Linked DNA regions of Arabidopsis thaliana. The protein of the gene in region 2 interacts with the protein of the main gene of each other region in a pairwise test. Each region holds a gene or a part of one and is shown on either strand. Other genes may lie near its edges. The genes, in order: AT1G80150 and AT2G37020.

Region 1 (4,781 bases), on a different chromosome or scaffold from region 2:
GCTAATGGATTCCTCGACGGATCGACAGAGAAGAGAGATGTGATTCAAAGACTTGATATGCAGAGGGTTTCCCGTTTCGTCCTTCATTTTTTCTTTCTTACCCAGAGAGACGTACAGAAACAGAACGCTGGCTCGATCGTAGCAACAAAACTTAGAATTCCGAAATATACGCCTATATAATGAATGAGAATTCAGGAGGAAGGTGGTCATTTTGATAAGAATGGCTTATATGTACACGTGTATATGTGTGTGTGTCGTGATCCAGTAAACTACGGAACTGATCTGAGGATGGATGGCGATGATGTCTATGTTTCTTTATATGCATCCCTTCTTTTTACTATAATCTTGTATATATGAGTTGTATCATTCATCCTTTTGGAATTGAGGATACCTCGTATCTTTTTTTCCTTTTTCAAAATCATCAAATTCAGAATTTTCAGACACAAAGAACACGTGAATCAACTAAACAAACATACATGCCCCCTCAAATTTTTATTTTTAAAAATAAACACCAATTTTGGAGTTTTGTTTCTTACGTTAAAAGATATTTAAAGTTACAATGTTATAATCCACCGCCATAAATCTACGTAACAAGTCAGTCTGACACCAAAGTGTAATAGACAAAAATATGTGAATTTTGTTTGCTCTGTCACTTGTGGGAAAATGTATTTATTCGACATAATAATAAAAATATTCATTGCTGGTAATGTTGTCTCTGTTCTATTCTCTGTTGTTTACATTCGTGCTATATCAAGAAAAAGCTATCAACGTTGATATCCTTTGTTATATGTTTAGTGCTTTTAATTTGGCTAGATGAAGCTTACAACATAACTCATTTTTCCAGGTGCTCAAGAGCTTTTGCATCGTCAGACGAAGATCCTTTTGGTTTCTTCAGCACATGGTCCCTGCTTTGTGTATGCCATTTTGCTCTCCAGCTGAAATCAACAACATGTTTTGTAAGTAGCATTACAAAAGGTAAACTAGTTCTGTGCTATCACAACTTAAGATTGTAGAGGCATCCATGACTTACTGGGTATCCCTCCATTGAAGTTTCCAAATCATCCTAAGCTTTATTCACATTGAACAACAAATAGTTGAATCTGATTGGAAGATAAGTGTGCCTCCTAATATGAGGCTACATCCCATTTCCAGTTCCACCACAGCTATACAAAATAAACTCAGGAGAAAGAAAGAAAGAATTCTTTTGGCCGCATTGTCGTGTACATGTAGCAAATTTGTTCCATTTCATGTAAACATTACAAAATGGACTTAAGGGAGAGCAACTGTTTTGACCTGAAAGGAGGTACTCTTCTGTGAACTAACTCCATGATCGACTTAGCCTGATCAAGCTGCCCCTTTTTCACAAGCCCTTTGAGCAACATCTCAACTGTGTCCAAGTTTGGGTACCACTTCTTTCTCATACAATCCTTGCACATTGTATAAGCCAAATCAAAATTTCCTGCCTTGCACAAATAGTGAATCATCGTCTGGTATATCTTCAAATTGGGTTTGTACCCCTTACCATGCATCGCTGTATAAACTCTTTCCGCCATGTCAGGGAACCTCGCAAGGAAAAACCCTTTGATAACCATGTTATATGTTATGCTGTCCGGTTCCACCTGGAGTTTAGGCATCAACAGCAACAGATCATTTGCATCCCAAGCTCGTCTCCTATTCACTAAAAACTGAATCCTAACATTAAAAGTGGTGAGGTTCGGCTTACAGCCCTTGAGGACCATAAGGTTCCACAATCCATTTCCAATCACACACCTCTCGTGCTTGTATAACGCCGATATAAGTGTAGTATATGTAACTACATCTGGTGTTAACCCTGATTTCTCCATCTCCCTCATTGCCATATAGGCCCCGTCAAGAATACCCAGCTCACAGAAAGATTTAATGGCAATGTTAAAAGAAACCGCATCAATATCAATGCCATACTTCGATGGGGCGTCGTGAAGGAACTCCCAGATGGTGTGGAGATCAGGATTGAAAGATAAGACTTGAAGAGCGGCATTGAAGGACTTAACAGATCTTTTGCAACCGTATAAATCCATATTGAAGAAAGTATCAAGTGCTTGCTTCGTCATTCCAGCCTTGCCATACAACATTATAATCCTAACAATGAAACCCTCACGCCTACCTTGTGGAAGTGTCTTCTGATGCTCAAGCAGATCCTCAATGAAATCAAGCCGACCTGCCCCAGCTAATCTAGAGACCGTATCTTCAAAAGCAAATCGATTTTCAATCACCAAACGGTTAGTGGCATTAGCTTTAAAGAGATTGTATAGCTTCTCAGGGTCTCGCTCAGATTTAAGCTTCACAAGGGCAGGTTCCTCGAGCGGTTTCAAACCCTGGATCTGATTGGACTCTGTTGAAACATATGCAATACCAGTGGCTGCAGAGGAAGGAAAATGGCAGAATCTGCGAATGTGTCGCAGAGATAGCATGATCCAGGGCCTCCCTCGAGCCTAAACATACCCGAATAACATGTAGCTTATTCAAATCCCCCAAATCTCCAATCTTTGCAATTTGTAAGATCTACTAACCAATCTATAGAACCAGCTTCAAAGATAAGGAGAGCGAAGAGTTGAGCAAACCCTCGACATCCATTTACCTCAATCGACAATAACCTAAATCCCCATGCGATTCAACAACAGCCATATCCGTAAAATCCCTCCGACGGCGAATTTAATTAACACAGCCGAACTTTATCTCGGAACGCTATAGTCGTAAGCCGGAGCAGTGACCGGAAAAGGGAGAAATTGCGATCTGAGATGGAGATTAGCAGGAGGCTAACGACGGAACACATACGGAGGTTTAAGGTTTTAGGTTTTTTGGGTTTGAGAAAACAATTTCAGTGACTATTGGGCTCATATCTTTTTGTTTGGGCCTGCATTGTTATACAGGCCTTTTAACTAAAACATTGTTGTTTATTCCAATATGACCCCTGCATTTACATAGTAATTCAATTTACACCCCAAAACTTTACAAATTACTAAAATAGTTAGAAACAGGATAAAGGTCGAATGATGCCTTGTGCGGAGCCGTGAGCAAAAGAGCAGAGAGAGGAGACAGAATCAATACCATCGGCCGGAGATAAGTCAATGTCTCTCATGAAAAGGTTGGAACATGGAACACTCTCCCCTGAACACTCGAGTTTCATAGCCACCTTTGTCGCCGATGTTCCACTCATCTTCATGTATCTCACTTTCTCTATGTGAACTCCCTTCATCTGATACATTACATTCAAACATTAGCTCATTTACATTTAATATTAACTTGAAAGATAGAAAGAAAAAGGTTCTCACAGTCTCAACGCATGTAGGGGCACAACCGTAGAACTGATCAATGATGATGGGGTTTTGTACAGACGAGAAACGGATATCGAAGAACTCGATTCCTCGGACGTAACCAGTTCCTCCAGGCCAAGTCTTGATTCGAGCTCCGTTTGTTGTTCCAGTGAAGTTAACGTGCGACACACGTATGTTTTCCACTGTTACCTCTGTTCCTCCTCTACCTAAACTCCCAATGCTGTCTCTAATTTCTTATTAGTTCTCATTTTTTTATTATGAAAAATATAAGATTACGAGGTCGATAAGGAGATGGTAATCACCTCACACCGTGACCAGGTCCGCAATTCATAAAAGTAACATTCAAATTATTCACTTGATCTCCGATCGACACACAATCATCACCTGTTTAATTAATTGTGAGAATAAATAAACAAATTAAACTTTTGTTTGATCTTTTATATGGTTAGGTAAGGAAATATACCAGTGGCGATGTCAGAATGATTGATAGAAACGGCGGTGGAAGATGTGATGTGAATACCGTCGGTGTTAGGGCTAGCCTCCGGTGATGTTATTTTGATATCATCGATATACACATTTTGGCTTCCCATCACAAGAACATGTGTTTGTGCACTATTTCTAAATCTCAAACTCTTTAATGTTACATTTCCGCAGTTGCTAAATGTCATCATCTGCGAGAAATATATCTATAGTTATAGAGACGTCCAAGTTATTATATACATACTACGTACTTCCTTTTGTAAATAGCAAACTTACCGTTGGTGCAAGGCAGATGCAATTCTGTGACACGTTATAGGTTACAAAATGTATTATCACATAGAGATGGTTTGTTAGGATACATTATAACCCAAGAAAAATAAAAAGTTAAAAAAAAGGAAACTTACGGGTCCGGGATGGTCTCTACAATGAATATCCCACCATGATTTGCCTTGGCCGTCCAACAAGCCGCGCCCTACGATTGCAAGTCCATCTACTTGATCGAATATGAGCCATGGTATTACCCCGTTCTCACCATTTCCCCACTTCTGTGGATCACTCTGCGCTATCATCTCTCCATCGATCTATATATACATATATCAGCAAAAGTAACTTTATAATTAACTTGGAGGAGTAGGTTCATATTCGAGTATTCATGTAATATCAATCAAGTAAAGTGGTGGAGGGATTTACAATGAAAAGGAGAGGTTTGGGTATGCAAGGACCCGTGAAGTGAAGGGAGTTGAGGAGGAACACCTTCCCTGCTGGTACGTTTACACTTCCCATTTTGGAGCTTCCCTTACAAGCATCCTCCCACGCCTTTTGGAACGCCTTGTTTTTTTTTGCCCACATATACCATGCAAAAGTTTAATTTTTTTTATATGATGACTAAACAATTATGCTGCTTGTACTGATATATAATATATATACACCAATAACTTACAGATGTATCATCGACAATTCCATCCCCGACCGCTCCATATTTCATCA
Region 2 (5,219 bases):
ATGATCTCAGTCTCATTGACAGAATAGATAAACACAAATAAAGAAAAATCAAAACTCTCAGCAGCTACAGAAGCGTCAATGTTTTAAATGTTTATCACAACATTCAAAATGCAAATGCAATATAGAAAAAAAAAAAAAAACATAAAAGAAATATACGTATAATGTGGGCCATAGAGACGACTCACAGCTGTTACATTAGAAAATAATAATAAAAATATAACTTTCCAGGGAAGAAAAAAAAGAAAAGAAAAGAAAATCCAGCTGCTTAGCTTATCCCCTTCCTTTAACTAAACACCTGCAATTTGAAGAAACTAACAATCCGAGAAAAAATCGAACGATATCATACATTACATTTGTGTTGGAAAAGAGATCGTTCAAGTTCAAGAGAGAATCTAACACAATGTCAGCGAAAAGAATAGTACTCGAAGCTAAGAAAAAAGATACCAAAGAGAGACGACGAGAGGAGACGAAGAACACTGACGCAGGAGGGGAAATGGCGACTGTTAGACTTGGATTTTGTTTTTTTGTCTTTGTTTCGGATTCCAAAAGCTGATTTATTTAGTTTTGAAATCCAAAATGACGTAAGACACCGTCAAATATAACGTGCGTTTCAAGTCCGCAACGATGGACAGGTGGAGTTCATGAACATCTACTGTTATACTATTAAGCTGCTGACTTCGGATAACAGTAAAGTTGTGACTAAAATGTGGGCTTTCAAGGCCCACAAAAGGAATACTTGCCGTTTTCAGTAATTGCAAACTACACCTAAAAACTACAGTCTCTCTATTTTCCTTGCCGTTTTTGGTTTAGAGAAGAACACTCCTTGACGTTTTCATGCTAGCTAAACAAAGTTATACATAAAAACTTAAAAAGAGCCGAGGACATTTAGGATTGGCCTTGGACTGCTTGGACGCCAGGAGGATCTCCGCCGGAAATCAAACCTCGGATCTTGACATCATAGTAAACTTCTTCCACTCTTCTTAGGTCGTACTTCATACCTGTCACATGTCAAAATCGATTTTTTTTTTATGTAACCATCGCAAATGGAGAAAGAAGAGCAGTTAGAGATATGTATGACTTACTGTCGAATTTCTTGCGCAGGAAATCGTTCCTGAGATTGAGCATGCGAAAGGCTGCATGAAGATCTGTCAGGAAATTCATCACCTTTCTTGGGCAGTCATAGTCTCCTGCTGTCACTCGATTAACCACGTACCTAGGCTGCTCAAACATTGCATCACCCATTTGCATTTATCCAAAGGTTTTTCATAAGTTGCTATCAAGTAGGATGCTAAGGGGGAAGATGGAAAGTAAGATTTAGGGATAAAAATGATCTTACCAAATCGTTTGACATGAAACAAATTCCTGCAAAGTATTCAAAAAGCTGAAGATCAGAGAATATAAAAGCAATGTTGCGATTCATAAAATGCTCGTAAGGCATATTTGATCTATAGATATTGGCCTTCCAGAGCAAATATGGGTTCTTTCTCAGAAACTTACCAGTGAGATAATCTTCTGTCTCCAATCCAAACTCCAAACTGTTCACTGAAGTACAATGAAGTGGAATTAGAAGAGCCATAATGGCAGATGAATTGACCAACACCTTGTTCTGTTTATTTTACTCAAAGACAATTGATTTGACAAGATAACAAAACCCAGATTTGAAACAAAACGACACTTGGGCAAATATCTATTCTACACCAACGTAATGAAAAACCAACCTTCCAATTATCATCCATCCATCCTAAGGGAGAATAACTGAGTTCATGGGAAACGGCAACTAATAACTCTATTGAGGTGAAAAAATCAAATCTTAGCTAAATGGTTGACACTACAGTGGATAAAATGCAGACTGAAACAAAGCCTAAGGACAAAATCAATAACAACGAGCAAGAAAAGGTAGACTAATTAACATACTGATAAGAGAAGAAGACTAGTGGCAAACTGAATCTGATTATTGAGAAAAGTAGAAAACTCGTTCATTTAGTTTTTCCAACTGAGACAGGTCAGGCAAAAGGAGGGTCACAGGATAACACGTATAGTATGTTGGAGTCATGAACGGATTTCAAATTGATTGCCTACTGCCAGCTCAGTTGTTACCTATTGTGGGAAGGAAGTTTCTATACAAAAGTTTGTGAGAGAACTAGCAAAACAAAATAAGGTTTTATTTATAGTGCAACCACTAGGCCATGATATGTATTTCAGTATTTGGAAGTAAGGAAAATAGTAAATTGAGATCCAGAGACATACACCCAAGTTTTTCTTCAGCTTCGGTATGCACGAGAAGAGTTCCAGTTTCTAGCCAGTGCATAAAAGCAAGCTGGGAGACCACTGCCTGTGTTTCACTTCTCCAGTCTCCATGGTACCTACATTACAAAAACCTTTTAACAAAAAACCATTGCAAATAAAGAAAATCTAACTACACATAGCTTTCAAACTTACCTATAGTATTGTCCAGGACACTCCTCAAGAATTTCAGCAAGCCGACCATAATACTGCTTCAAATCAACGATTTTTTCCTTAGCTTTCTCGATAACCTCTGATCCATCAACAAAACGAGCAATCTATATTAGTAACAACCAAACACTTCCAATGAATTTCTTAAAAGAACAAAGGCTATGTGTAATTCAATATTCATTCTTTTCTCAACAAGTTCTTCATTTTTAGTTACTTCCCTTCATAGAGAACTTCATCACCAAGTTCTGAACCCATCAAGCCATTTCAAACATTTAGCTAAAAGATGCAATTTTTAACCTAAAGACTAATCATTTACCAGGAATAGGACGCGATTGATGAACGAGAAGAAGATTAGCTTGAATAAGCCTAGTAGCAGACTCAATCTCCATAACCACAGCACGAATCTGCTCTCTCAAAGCTGCAGATTCTTCCAATTGAACACGGAAACTCTCGAACTGCTTCTCAAGCGAATGAGACACCTGACCATCTCCTCCCGCCATAGGAATGTAGAAAGAAGAAAAGGAAGAAGTCGAACAGAAGGGAAAGGAAGATGAAGGAGACACCGAGTTTCTATGCCGGAGAGGATTGGAACGGCGAGGAGAAGCGTCGCCGGAACAGAGAGGAAGAAAATGGAGAATCGAAGAAGAAAAGGGCTTAGGGTTTATCAAACGAGACGCAGTGATGTGAACGTTTCGAAACGCCGAATTCATCATCGTGTCGTGTTTTTTAGTTACGCCGCTTCCCTATTCTCTTTCCGACATCATCTTAGTAACCAATTAAACCGGATCATATAAACCAAAGAATCGTAACTGAAAATAAACCGATTTCTTTGTATATCATTCTCTGTATGACTCTATCTTACCAAAACCGGTTACCATATAAAGAAAGAAAAAGCATGATGAATAATCACCATTATCTACAAATAAAAATTACAAAATTGGAATTCTAAAATCCCTTCTTCTCTAATTCTATAAACTACTTATATAACTCATTTAATATTTAACGTATGAAAAATAGAAGAATTTTACAAAATGTAAGCTTTTTAATCATGTGTAATTATTAGATTATTTCTTCTGGAATGTAACCATGCAGAAATAAGCTATGAATCGGCATATTAGTCCCATGAGAACGAGAACAATGAGACACAATATCCAATCACTAAGATCATATCCGTTTTGAGACAATGAACTGCATCTAGTCACCACCCACACTCCAGAGTACCTAACCCAAAAAAAAGAGTCCAAAATCAAATTTTCTGAATTAAGATTTGATTATGTGTTAGAAGAATTAAATCTTCAAACTTTCTACCTTTGAGCATTGGAAAGGACAAAGGCTTCGAGAGTCCATTTGGGGTAGCAAAAGCTTCCGAGATACTTAAGGACCATGCTTTCTTTATCTTGATTAGCGATAAGAGTCATAACAACGGGGACTAACACCGACAACTGCAAGAACATAACAGCAAATTCAGGTACCATATGGTTAGTGAAAATTTTGGTTCCTTCATATATGAATTATGAGAAAGTGAGGACAAACCAATTGTGCGGCGCTAGGACTGTACAATATGGCAAAAATGTAAGCCATGCCTGTTACACAGTAGACCAAGCATACTAGTACAATGTAGTTGTCTTCGAAACTAGATCTCGGGTTGTTGAAGAAGTAGAACATGGACAAGTACACTAAAGGTTTCATAATTGTGTTTAAATGGTCCATTGTGTCTTTAGCCATAAAATGTGCCAAACTGCTAATTCCAGCGGCACTTTCTCTCCAATATTGTAATTTATCTACAGAGAATGATCTCAATGCCGAGATCTTACACAAAAGAGCTACAAAAAAAGAAAGACATACAGAAAAGAGCTTAGTTAACGTTCCAAAAATCGCGAATACTAGTAAATGTAAATTAATATTTGTGTACGTAAGAAACTTACAGACAGCTATTATGGTGTATGTGTAGCCAAGTGTATCGATTGTCTCGTCGTTCACCTTCGCAAGAGTTCCTAAACAAGCTCCCGCAACTAATAATATTAGGAAATCTAACGCTTGTAGTCTTGCTTCTCTAAGCCGTTGTTTTCCAACCCTGAAATAGATAGACTAAAGTTTTAATGTACATATGAAATTAACCACAAAATTCCATCTATCAAATCTAGAAAAATCATACCTTCCAACAAAATATCTATATTGTCGACCTACGGTAGGAGTTACTCGATTAGAATTGTCATGAGAATTCGAGTAATTGTGTTGTAACTGATCTTTTGTAATCTCCACATTAGTTTTCACATCTTGCCATAGATCATTACTAAAAGAATTATGAGTGGAATCCTCTTGAGCTGATCCAGTTGACGAGGAAGGAAGTCCATCACAAAATTTCAACATATCGTGAGGCACAGGGTAACCATTGTGCAGCATCCATCTCACAGGAAGTTGTTCTATAGTTATATCACCATCTGGTTTCACAATGCCTTCAAGAATATCTATATAATGATCAGGAGGATTGACACGATCGGGAACCGTGATTCCGATATCAGCAAAATATTCTTCTATTTTTTTGACTGATCCATGGTACACGGTAAGACCACCTTTTGCTAGTATTATCATGTCATCGAACATTTTGTACATTGTATAACTAATAAGAGGAAAAAACCAATTATTAAGCAAAAAGTATTTCTTAACATAAAATTGTAACATAATTCATGGAGGAGATAACATACCTGGGTTGATGGACGACCATACAAATGTTAACACCTTCAAGTGCTTCACGTCGAAGTGCT

Evidence for each region.
Region 1: the proteins of AT2G37020 (region 2) and AT1G80150 interact in a two-hybrid assay, tested with the Arabidopsis thaliana proteins (one large-scale study listed by BioGRID).

Annotation. Positions count from the first base shown.
Region 1 is NC_003070.9:30,146,407-30,151,187, reverse strand, and holds AT1G80150 (Tetratricopeptide repeat (TPR)-like superfamily protein), read right to left. Parts: upstream 2,859-4,781; 5' UTR 2,451-2,858; coding exon 1,257-2,450; 3' UTR 1,031-1,256; intron 936-1,030; 3' UTR 632-935; downstream 1-631. Other genes in the region: GLYI7 (Lactoylglutathione lyase / glyoxalase I family protein), read right to left, coding at 1-210; AT1G80140 (Pectin lyase-like superfamily protein), read right to left, coding at 3,008-3,235, 3,312-3,534, 3,617-3,698, 3,778-3,985, 4,199-4,375, 4,485-4,577.
Region 2 is NC_003071.7:15,544,459-15,549,677, reverse strand, and holds AT2G37020 (Translin family protein), read right to left. Parts: upstream 3,265-5,219; 5' UTR 3,168-3,264; coding exon 2,771-3,167; intron 2,537-2,770; coding exon 2,440-2,536; intron 2,364-2,439; coding exon 2,248-2,363; intron 1,543-2,247; coding exon 1,498-1,542; intron 1,363-1,497; coding exon 1,337-1,362; coding exon of another isoform or gene 1,289-1,336; exon of another isoform or gene 1,219-1,288; coding exon 1,083-1,218; intron 999-1,082; coding exon 886-998; 3' UTR 641-885; downstream 1-640. Other genes in the region: NAP12 (non-intrinsic ABC protein 12), read right to left, coding at 3,519-3,675, 3,763-3,896, 3,988-4,277, 4,380-4,528, 4,610-5,074, 5,160-5,219.